Lepisosteus oculatus: one gene and its partners. The protein of the gene in region 1 purifies or fractionates together with the protein of each later gene. This does not show direct contact. Links are inferred from orthologs where the notes say so. Each region holds a gene or a part of one and is shown on either strand. Other genes may lie near its edges.

What was found. Proteins that work in one complex are often made in the same cells at the same time.
Region 2: the proteins of polr3b (region 1) and polr3c fractionate together in Homo sapiens (co-fractionation; 4 studies listed by BioGRID and IntAct, with this or other methods). This does not show direct contact. The link is inferred for Lepisosteus oculatus from reciprocal best matches to the Homo sapiens genes POLR3B and POLR3C.
Region 3: the proteins of polr3b (region 1) and polr3e purify together in Homo sapiens (affinity purification with mass spectrometry; 8 studies listed by BioGRID and IntAct, counting the BioPlex papers as one, with this or other methods). This does not show direct contact. The link is inferred for Lepisosteus oculatus from reciprocal best matches to the Homo sapiens genes POLR3B and POLR3E.

Annotation. Positions count from the first base shown.
Region 1 is NC_090702.1:53,628,994-53,632,739, reverse strand, and holds the start of polr3b (DNA-directed RNA polymerase III subunit RPC2), read left to right. Parts: upstream 1-1,045; 5' UTR 1,046-1,146; coding exon 1,147-1,218; intron 1,219-1,857; coding exon 1,858-1,890; intron 1,891-2,518; coding exon 2,519-2,575; intron 2,576-2,678; coding exon 2,679-2,743; intron 2,744-3,673; coding exon 3,674-3,746. UniProt on the Homo sapiens protein: Catalytic core component of RNA polymerase III (Pol III), a DNA-dependent RNA polymerase which synthesizes small non-coding RNAs using the four ribonucleoside triphosphates as substrates.
Region 2 is NC_090722.1:7,226,120-7,229,865, reverse strand, and holds the start of polr3c (DNA-directed RNA polymerase III subunit RPC3), read left to right. Parts: upstream 1-1,087; coding exon 1,088-1,222; intron 1,223-1,490; coding exon 1,491-1,685; intron 1,686-2,649; coding exon 2,650-2,902; intron 2,903-3,378; coding exon 3,379-3,558; intron 3,559-3,746. Other genes in the region: rnf115a (E3 ubiquitin-protein ligase RNF115), read right to left, coding at 997-1,074. UniProt on the Homo sapiens protein: DNA-dependent RNA polymerase catalyzes the transcription of DNA into RNA using the four ribonucleoside triphosphates as substrates.
Region 3 is NC_090714.1:16,621,900-16,625,645, forward strand, and holds the start of polr3e (DNA-directed RNA polymerase III subunit RPC5), read left to right. Parts: upstream 1-882; 5' UTR 883-1,065; intron 1,066-1,831; 5' UTR 1,832-1,894; coding exon 1,895-1,930; intron 1,931-2,630; exon of another isoform or gene 2,631-2,632; coding exon 2,633-2,683; intron 2,684-3,094; coding exon 3,095-3,172; intron 3,173-3,344; coding exon 3,345-3,460; intron 3,461-3,745; coding exon 3,746-3,746. UniProt on the Homo sapiens protein: DNA-dependent RNA polymerase catalyzes the transcription of DNA into RNA using the four ribonucleoside triphosphates as substrates.

The sequences.
Region 1 (3,746 bases):
AATTGTTACCATGGTAATGGGGGGAGGTCACCTGTGTTTGGACCTTGAGCACTTTGAATGGCCATTCTTGTCTTTCCTTTGGTCTTGTACCAAAAGAAGTCTGTGCAGAAGGAAATCAGTTAACCCTTTTTTCACATCTTATATCTTTCTACAAGTAGAAGCTGTTCTTAAGCCTAGTGGCCAGTTCTTTAAGGTTTTGGTTCATCCTGAGAGAGAGAGAGAGAGAAACAATGCACTGAAAAATAAAAATGACATATTGATTTTGTCACTGTATGGCTTGTTTAAGAAATGTGAAAAACGTGATTTAAAAATGTATTTGGTGAAGTTTTATTCTTTGTAACCTGAAAAAGTAGATTTCCATCCATCTGTTTTCTAAACCACTTTATCCAGCACAGGGTCACAGGAGAGCTGGAGCCTCACCAGGCCCAGTTTTTTTTTTACAGAAGCCAATTAACCTACTGTACCAGTAGTCTTTGGACTGTGGGGGGAAACCCACACAAACATGGGGCAACATACAACATCTGCACAGATACAGTAGCCCAGGTCCACAGTCGAAACCCGGGCTTTCACACTGCAGCAATGCTAACTACTGCACCACCACGCCACCCAAGTCCATTTCATCCACTCGAATTGCCAGTTAAGACCCACGGTGATTGAGCTCAAACATGAGATTGCTTTGTACACATGAGTTTTTTTAATTAAATGTTGTGAAGTAAATTTAAAATGCTATTTATTGTACTGACAAATAATCAAAACGTATGGGGCACGATTAAAGGTTACAAACGAGGGAGTGGTTTGGAAATTGTACAACACTCATACTTCTTTCTGACTTCTCGAATTGTTTTCGAATATACAAGAAAAATAACGCGGCTTATAAAGTGATAAGTGTTTAAATTTCAATTTCTGAATTCTGTAGGAAAAGTGAAGGGTGCAGAGGTTAAATTAATTTTCGTTTATTTTCGGAACATATCAGAACGGAATGTGGGAGCAGAACCACGGTCCACCTCTTTGTTTCCACACGTTGCCATTTATTTGGGACATCGCATGCACGTGTGGGTTTGTTCTTCCGCTTGCCGATGTCGCCGGATTGGAAATGTGATTCTTGTTTCATGAAGTCTGGCTGTTTGTTTTGAGTGTGAGAAAATTATGGATGCCCTCATTGATGAGTATGGGGGCATGACTCCCCAAGAACTCGCAGCCCCCGTTAATACCATAGAGGTAGGGAATAAGTATCGCAGCAGTTGAAATATAAGTGATGCATATTAGTAATTACTGTGTTGCAATGTGCATACAATTTGCTTAAACCATGTATTCGTCTGTAAAGAAAACTGTGTTAGCGTAACAAGGAAGCAAACGTCAGGGAAAATGTTTTGATTATAGATTGTTTTTTAATAATCTGGTGCCTCCTTTGTAAGGGCTAGAGGTTTTTAAAATGTATTAAGTGGGTGATTTGTATGAAAATGCAAGCCATTCAGAATTTGATCGTGTGAACTAAGCTGATCAAGAATATAGTGTTGTTTGGAAAAAAACGTTCATTCGGTTGTAATGCTGTGCATTGGAACTTGTTTAACTCCTTCTGTTACATTGTACAGTATAGGCAGTTCAGGTACAATCTTGTTTGTAGTCAACGTTCAGACGCTTTACACTGCAGTGTATGATTAAATTATACTGTTACTGTTCTCAAAAGATTACATGTCGAATTTTGTCTTTCTCTGTCTTCTGATAATCTCTTTATAAAAGGGGCAAATCTGCTATATACAATATGCAAGACGCAGTAGGTCATTGTGTGCTGTCATTTTACTTTCTAATGCTGTGATCTAGTGGGACAGCTTTAATATTTTGTACTTTCCCTTTTAGGAGAAATGGAAGTTACTACCGGCCTTTCTAAAGGTATTGTGAATTCTCTATTGGCAACTTGTGTTACTGATGAAAAAATTAAACAGGTGTAGTTGTACCGCGGGACACCAAATCTACCAACCAGGCCAATATAATATTTATTGCTATTAACTTTTTAATAGCAACAATTCTGACTCTTTTTTTTGGACCCATTTGGACACATTTTTGGAATCTGACATTCTGGACATTAACCCCAGCTGCAAGAGCTGAGGTGCACTGTTGTTGAGACAGAATGTTAAAGAGCTGCTCGTTTGAAGCTGGCTAAGTGGTCTGTTTGAGAAATGGAGGTGGGAGGTCAGGACTTCTGGTATCCAAGACCTTCTTATTAGTATGGTGTGTAAGAGTAAGGGTATACATTTCCTTCAGTCACCCTCATATATACTAAACTCCACTGCTTTCCTAGTGTATGAAGTCTTGTTGCCAGTTCACATGATGTTATACAGCAAAGGCTGCTAACTCGTATGTCGACTTTCAGAAGGCATCAGCACCAGGGTGACAGTATGTGATCCTTTTGAAATGTGCCTGTTGTGCCTTATTTTCCAGTTCTGTTGTTCCATTGTCGACTAAGAATTCTAAATATCCTCCCCTGTGTATCTTAATTTTCTTTCTCTTCTTTTTTTAGGTGAAAGGACTGGTGAAACAGCATATTGACTCATTCAATTATTTTATTAATGTAGAGGTAAGACATTGCATGCATACATGCTCTTATGCCCTGTTTTTTGTTTTTGTTTTTGTTTTGTGGCACTTGTGTTTGAGATTAACTTGGCGATTGCTGTTTCCAGATAAAGAAAATCATGAAAGCCAATGAAAAGATTACAAGTGATGCTGATCCCATGTGGTATTTGAAGTGAGTATGTGTATTTACACTCTGCTGGGCAAACAAATATCAGTGGAGAATAGATACTGAGCATGTGTTAATGTCACCCAATGTGTTGTGAGTCCTCGTTCAGTTGGTCAGTTGGGAACTGAACAGTCTTTAACACAAGTGAAGCTACTTTACCATAGTTTGTTCAATTATAAGAGGCGGAGCGGTGGCTCTGTGGCTCAGGATCTGCGCCTGTGACTGGAAGGTTGCCGGTTCGTATCCCGCGGCCAGCAGAGGAATCCTACTGCATTGGGCCCCTGAGCAAGGCCCTTAACCTCAACTGTTCCAGGGGTGCCGTATAAATGGCTGACCCTGCGCTCTGACCCCCACCTTCTCTCTTCCTGTCTGTGTGCTTTTGTGTCTCTTGGAGAGCAAGCTGGGGTATGCAAAAAGACAAATTCCTAATACAAGAAATTGTATATGGCCAGTAAAGTGATCTTAAACTATGAACTGTAATACAGATCAACTGTTCTGCATTTTTATAAGATAAACTACGTCTTAGGCCAAAATGCTATATATTTAGGAAGACATTCTGACATTAGGAGACATTCTGTCTCGATGTCCATGGAAATATCTAAGATGTTCAGGATTTCATCCTTCACCTTTCTGCTCATGACTTCCAGTCTATCTGGCTATCTGATTTCAACACTGGGCTTGTTCTGTCCTTGGTTACAGCACAGTCTGATTTCAGCCCTCAGTCTGGTCTCGCAATTTGTTTTACTGGTCAGCTTGATGAAAAAAGTAATTTTCTTGTGTCTGGGTAAACAAAAATCACATGGGGTTCATTAGAAAACCTGTTTTATTTTCCTTAGTGGGTATCTGTCTTGCTATTTAGTGTCCAGGAATTTAACATGATGTTTGATGTTTGCTGTGTCAGAGATTTAGATGACAAGAGCGCATGTTCTGTTCCAGATACCTCAATATTTATGTTGGAATGCCTGATGTCGAGGAAAGCTTCAATGTGACCAGACCTGTGTCTCCTCAT
Region 2 (3,746 bases), on another chromosome or scaffold:
TGTAGATACCGCGCACTGACAGGACGGCTGTGGTTACCTGTATAGTTACCGCGCACTGACAGGACGGCTGTAGTTACCTGACTGTAGATACCGCACACTGACAGGACGACTGTGGTTTCCTGACTGTAGATACCGCACACTGACAGGACGACTGTGGTTTCCTGACTGTAGATACCGCACACTGACAGGACGACTGTGGTTTCCTGACTGTAGATACCGCACACTGACAGGACGACTGTAGTTACCTGACTGTAGATACCGCACACTGACAGGACGACTGTGGTTTCCTGACTGTAGATACCGCGCACTGACAGGACGGCTGTGGTTACCTGTATAGTTACCGCGCACTGACAGGACGGCTGTAGTTACCTGACTGTAGATACCGCACACTGACAGGACGACTGTGGTTTCCTGACTGTAGATACCGCGCACCGACAGGACGGCTGTAGTTACCTGTATAGTTACCGCGCACTGACAGGCTTTTGTTATCTAAACAGCAGCAGGTCGTCTCGACGGTACTTGAAGTCTCCACATCAGGTCCCAGACTGATTCCAGCACCGGAACGCGTTTCCCCAGACTGACAAGGTCCGAACCCACTCCCAGACTGGGCTGTCTATGACCCCTGTCCTCCAGCCGAGAGCCGTGACAGCTCAGTCCCAGCTGCGGACTCCCGCAACCCCTGCGACGGACGCCGCTCGCCGCTGACCCCCGAAGATGACTGACAACAGCCCGGCGGGTCTCTTCCCCTGCCCTCGAACAAACCCCCGAAATATGAGATGCACACCGACACCCGCGGGAGCGGATCAATAAATAAAATCCGAAACATTCCCTCCCCCCTTCCGCCCCCCACCAGCTAAAGCCAAACAAGGCCTGTAAACAAACTCGGAGTGTCAAGCACAGCCCCGGGCTCGAGTGCGCACCGCTCACCGCAAAAGGCGCGCCTCCGCCCGGCCTGTCTCAATCAGAGCAAAGTCGGTGGGAACCGGGACTACTCACCGGCAGCTTGGGGTTCACCTCCCCCTTACAGCAGTGACAGAAGAAACGATGTTGGGGAACAGCCGCAGCCTCCGCCATCTTCCACTGGAATATGGCACAAACAGTGACGTCGGTCCTCCAGCTCACGGAAGGAGGCGGTCCGCCACCGGCCCTGAATGCCTCTTGCGGGACTAGACCGAGATTTCATCCCCCGAGAAGACCGATCACAACCGGAAAAAGCCGAAGGGTAAAGGCCGGAAGTGTGTGGGAAGGGAGGGACTAGATTCGCCATCTTTGTGCGGGGCAAGGCAATAGCGGAAGTAGATGGCGCACACGTGTCTTGTCGAGGGAAATGGGAACGATATAAACAAGGCAGAAAGAGTTATATGCTGGGCAAATGCCGGTTAAATAAAAGTCATTGTGCTTAAGTGGTTTTGGAAAGAACCCCTTCTTTGTAAAGCAGCAGGGTGAGTCTTGAGGAGTGGGATTCTGGAATCAGCGCTTTACATCTGTAGGCGCCAGCGGTTGCAGGTCTGTCCCGGCTGGGACGTGTTTCTGTGCAGATGACGGCGCAGGAGGTGCGGCTGTGCGCGCTGCTGCTGCAAGAGCACTTCGGCGAGGTGGTGGAGAAAGTGGGGACGTTCCTGCTGAAGGGGGGTGAGCAGACCCTGAGGGCCATCGCCACGGGGACCGGGACCCCCCTGCACCTGGTAACGCGCTCTCTGACCCTTTACCTGCCCCTGAGTCTCATGGTGTGTCCTGACTTCTCTGGTCCACTCCTCCCGCTCAACCCCTTTACCCTCTCCCATCCTCTCTCTCCCTCCTCTCCCCTCTCTCCTCTCAATTCAATTCAAGGTGCTTTATTAACGTGACCGATGGGTACAATCAGTTTTGCCAAAGCAAATAAAAATAAAATTAACATGGAACAAAACAAAAAATAAAATCTACAAAGAAATTATAAAATATGTACATATACTGTAAACATATTGAGCAGATCACATACTGGGCTGCCAGTTCAACTGAGTTCCCTCCTCCCTCTCCCAGTAGGATTGGGACCCGTTGTGATTCTGGCAGGTGTGGGAACTGTGGGACTAGATTTCTGTATTTCTGGAAGAATGTTTCTCTAATCCCAGAGTATCTGTCACAGTGCAGTAGGAAGTGCACCTCTGTCTCTATTTCTCCCCGCTGGCAGTGGGAGCACAGCCTGTCTTCCCTGGACAGCCAGGTCTGCCTGTGTCCAGGCTGTGGTCACTGAGCCTGTCCTCTCTGGACAGCCAGGTCTGCCTGTGTCCAGTGTCTCTGTCCAGGCTGTGGTCACTGAGCCTGTCCTCTCTGGACAGCCAGGTCTGCCTGTGTCCAGTGTCTCTGTCCAGGCTGTGGTCAGTGAGCCTGTCCTCTCTGGACAGCCAGGTCTGCCTGTGTCCAGTGTCTGTGTCCAGGCTGTGGTCACTGAGCCTGTCCTCTCTGGACAGCCAGGTCTGCCTGTGTCCAGTGTCTCTGTCCAGGCTGTGGTCAGTGAGCCTGTCCTCTCTGGACAGCCAGGTCTGCCTGTGTCCAGTGTCTGTGTCCAGGCTGTGGTCACTGAGCCTGTCCTCTCTGGACAGCCAGGTCTGCCTGTGTCCAGTGGTCTTGTCTTGGTCCGACATGGGGCTAGTGTGTTCCTCTCCCCCCCAGGTGAAGAAGTGCCTGTGTGTGCTGCTGCAGCAGGGCCTGTGTGAGTTCGGGCCGGGCCGGCGGGGGGTGGAGTACAGGCTGCCGGAGCCGCGCGTGTTGGGCCTGCTGCGCTTCCCTCGCTACATCTACACGGCCAAGACGCTGTATGGCGACGCAGCGGAGCTGCTGGTGGAGGAGCTGCTGCAGCACGGCCACATGACCATGAGCCAGGCCGTGCGGACAGTGGCTGACCGGCTGACCGACAGCATGGAGGGTGAGAGGAGGGCCTGTCTGTCTGTCAGCACCTCGAGGGTCAAAGAGTCTGCCTGCCTGTCTGTCTGTCAGCACCCCGAGTGACAAAGAGTCTGCCTGCCTGTCTGTCTGTCAGCACCCCGAGCGACAAAGAGCCTGTCTGCCTGCCTGTCTGTCAGCACCCCGAGCGTCAAAGAGCCTGTCTGCCTGCCTGTCTGTCAGCACCCCGAGCGTCAAAGAGCCTGTCTGCCTGCCTGTCTGTCAGCACCCCGAGCGTCAAAGAGCCTGTCTGCCTGTCTGCCTGTCTGCCTGTCTGCCTGTCTGCCTGTCTGCCTGTCTGCCTGTCTGCCTGTCTGCCAGCACTTCGAGGGTCAAAGAGTCTGCCTGTCTGTCTGTCAGCACCCTGAGCTCCCAATAGTTGTTCGGTCGATGCTGTAAGTTGGGGTGGCTGCGAATGTGGGGGTGTCCCTGACCCTCTGTGCGGCTGTGTGGTTACAGAGGGAAAGAGCATGGAGTACAGCGAGGTGACCAGCGTCTTCTCTCGCCTGGTGGAGACGCACTTCCTGCAGCGCTGCCCCCCAGTGGCAGAGCGCAGCGGCGACAGCGCGGCCTGCCCGGCCCCCACCCTGGCTGATGGCGACAAGGAGAGGTACACCCTGCCCCACATCACCCTGACAGGTAGCCCTGCGCCTGGGGCTGGGGGGGGGGGCAGGCTGGGCTGACCGGCCCCCCTGTCTGTCTGTCTGTCTGTCTGTGTGGGGCTGGGGGCTGGCTGGGCTGACCGGCCCCCCTGTCTGTCTGTCTGTCTGTCTGTCTGTCTGTCTGAGTGGGGGCAGGCTGGGCTGACCGGCCCCCCTGTCTGTCTG
Region 3 (3,746 bases), on another chromosome or scaffold:
GAAGCTCTTATTCTGAGTGGGCGGGGCTGCCTGTACCCCGCCCACACAGTTTTCTGCGGTTACTGAATGTGATATCTTAGATTGACACTTCCCTTTAACAGAAATACCATAATTTATTTTACAAAGAAACTAATTTAATGCAAAGTTATCAAATGAATACAACAGCGGCGCTCTGCGGTGCAAAGTCTCATATTCAGAATTCAGCAAAAAAAAAAATGTTCTTTAAACAATGAAATGCACAGTGAAAATTATTTCATATAATTGTAAAATAAATACCGGATTAATTTTATTTTAAGAAAAGCCGGCACATTTTTCGTAACTGACATCGCTTCTACGGCGTAATCATCCTTTTTTTTAAAGAAAACTGAACGCATCAAGCTAATTACGTTCCTAAAACTAATTGCCCCTTCAGTACGTATTAAAACGTAAATACAGTGTACAGTCGGCTATGAAAGCAGATCCTTGCGTTTTTCCTGCAAGCGCATATGTAACAACAGCGATTGAAACACGTCTCCCATTTCCACGGTGTAGAAATGCTATAACATCACATCTTTACAAAAAAAAAGTATTTTTGTAATTGCAGAGCAGCAGAGCAGAGGGTTGTGACTTCACTGCGATACCGAGGGGTGAGCCCGCAGAGGTAGCGTGGCCGAGCGGTCTAAGGCGCTGGATTAAGGCTCCAGTCTCTTCGGGGGCGTGGGTTCGAATCCCACCGCTGCCAGGCACAGGCTTTTTTTGTTACGCCTGCCTGCGCTGCGCCCGCCCAAGCGCTTTCCGCGGCTACTGCCTGCAGCGCCTCCTGCTGGCTCCAGACGGCATGTGAGCCAGCGAGAGCGCCCTCTGCTGTCCGGAGCACGACAGTGCCCCCCCCGCCGCTGTCTCACGGCATTGTGGGAAGGGACCCTGAGCTCCTCCCCACGTGTCTGGGAAGCTGCAACATGGCAGCCGCCTGAACTCGCAGCCGCCGCAGAGGAAACACACCGGGCTGGGGTACAGGGGCCACCCGCCGTGAGCTGCCTGCCTGAAGGGAGACCACTCGCCGGGGGACTGTCTGTGTCCGTGCAGGTGAGGCGGCCAGCTCCGGACGGTCCGGTCTGTTCGAACGACGGACGGGAAGAACCGTGGCACTTTTTGTCCATCGTGGGCCTTTTAAAAATAATAAAAGGCGTTTCATCTCTTCCGCGGCACGACAGAAGAGGCGTTCGGGAGGAGACGTTTCGGTCTTGTGAGCGAAACTCGTTGCCCCCGCTGCGCCATCTCACGGGCTGTAACGAAACTTGAATGACCCGGCTGTCGAAATATTGGAGCGGCCGAGATAACTTTCTGTCTCACAAACGCCTGAACGTGACACGGACGGCAGGGGAGACGGATCACTCGCCACCGAGCGTGTTGTTGTGTACGGGGCTCGCTAGCTGTGATAGCGGTCTGGGTGTGAATTGCGACCCGTTGCATCATGTTTGTTTAAGAGCCCAGAGTCGGAGGACGCGACTGGGCATGCGCTGTCTGTGGTCCAGAGTGTTGTGACTTGGCGAATCTGGCTTGGCACCCTAAAATCGTTCGTGAACGGGTGTGTGCGGGTCTCAAGTTGAGGGCGATACCTCAGCGTTGTGGGTATTATGTGCATTAACAGTCTTGCAAAAGACCGGGTGCTGAATGTGACCTGTCCAGCAAACCCGGTTCTAAAGCAAGGTGTGTTCCAGAATCTAAGGTGTGCTCAGTGAGACAACACCTGCCTCGGCTGTCTCACTGCGGGCGCAGGCGGCAGGCTGTCTTCCAGTGCAGGGGGACAGTGGTTTGTGTGCTGCAGTGACGGGCTCTCTCTCTTCCCCAGGTGTGGGCACTGAGCCAGCCCCTCCACCCCTCCAGAGCACAGCTGCCAGTCCCAGCCCTCGCCATGGCCAGTGAGGATGACGACCCCATCGTACAAGAGGTAGGCGCCCCACAGCTCACCGGCCAGCCATGCAGTGGGATTAGGGAGCTGTCTCCACCTGTAGGTTTGGGGTGTAATGTAACCGAGCGCAGACTCAGGGCGAAACCCTCCCAAGCCTGGACACAGCGATGACGGAGTGACGCAGTTTTAGGTATAAGAACAAGAGGAGAGCTGCTGACTAGAGCCCATCTTGGCTAGTGCATTGCTAGTCTTTTTGTGTTCCTAACAGCTGGAGCTAGTAGCTTATTTCTCCAAGGATCCTCTTCCTCACTTCCCTGAATGATCCCAGGGAATCTGCTCAACAGCATGACTGGGAACGTTCTTCCAGGGCCCCACAGCACATGAAGAAGAGCCCTGTGGTACCCCCTCTGTTTCCACTCGTGCCTGTGTTGATCTTGTATCGCTGCGGGCCCTGATGTAGTCCTCTGGGGCGGCTTTGTCAGTGCCTTCCAGAATTTCACACACTTTTAATACTCCCAAGAGCTGGTGAAGTTTCCAGTTAAAGTGCTGTGCAAGTCGAAGCTTTGAAATTAAGAAAATCACGACGGGTATAAGGATTTGAAGGGATGCCGGACACAGATCAGAAGTGTAGTGTTTTGTGACGCGTGCATGATGTGATTGTTCCTGTGCTGTGTGACTGAAGATCAGAGTCTACTCTGTGCCTGCTGGTTTCAGCCCAGTCTGCCCTGTTTGTTTCCTCAGATTGATGTTTATCTGGCCAAAAGCCTTGCTGACAAGCTCTACTTATTCCAGGTAAGCAAGACCATGGGAACGAACCAGCTGCAGTAACTCGGCCTGTTATGAGCACTTACATTCGATTAACAGACTAGACACACTCGTGTAAACGTTGTTTTAACTTGACCTAGTTTGCAGAACACTCACCAAGTAGTCAGTGTTTCTTGTCAGATGTTTTCAAGTTAAGAATGTTGTGTCATGGGCTGTGGAAGTCTAACTGGTTGAGGTTTTCAGTTAGCTTCAGTGTCTCTAGTGGAGCTGCTGTGAGTTTCCAGGCTTGGCCGTGCAGGGGTGAGTAGGCTGAAGCCTAGGGAGGGGCTTTCTCTGTGTGTTAGTTCGCAGAGCTCGGGGGACAGCCATGCTGATTCAGCAGAGGCGAGTGGGCCGCAGGTGATCCATTTCCTGACTGTTGCGTTTATTTTCCATCAGTATCCAGTGCGCCCTGCTACAATGACCTACGATGACGTTGCTCATTTATCTGCAAAAATCAAGCCCAAACAGCAGAAGGTAAGAAGGAATCTGAGCTTGTTAAATGGCTGGTTCCTGAATAAAGGCTGTGAGCTGTGGTCAGACTGGTTTTGTAGCAGCTAGCCGTTGCCAGACGGGTAGTCCCGGGGAGATGCACCGGGGAGTCGTTTGTGTCGTCGGTGACGGTCACGGCCGTGTCTCACCTGCGCAGGTGGAGCTGGTGATGGCGATGGACACGCTCAGCCCCAACTACTGCCGCAGCAAAGGGGAGCAGATCGCCCTGAACGTGGACGGCACCACCTCCGAGGACTCCAACACCTACTCCACGTAAGGCCCGGTCCTGACCCAGAGGAGCCAGGTCCGTGTGGCCACGTGTGTAGTCTTGTGCGCCGGGCTCTGTGGTCTCCAGGCTGCAGACAGAGAGGGGCTCACAGGGTTGTAGTCAATCCCCTGGGTTAACAAGGTGGTTTTGAGTGCCTGTGACTAAGCTGGCTTTTGCGAGTGGAGGCAGTGTTGCTGTGTGTGTGTGTGTGTGTGTGTGTGTGTAAGGTTGTCCTGGTGGCTGAATACAGCACTTCTTCTCTCCCCCTGTGTCTTGCAATGCCTGTGCAGG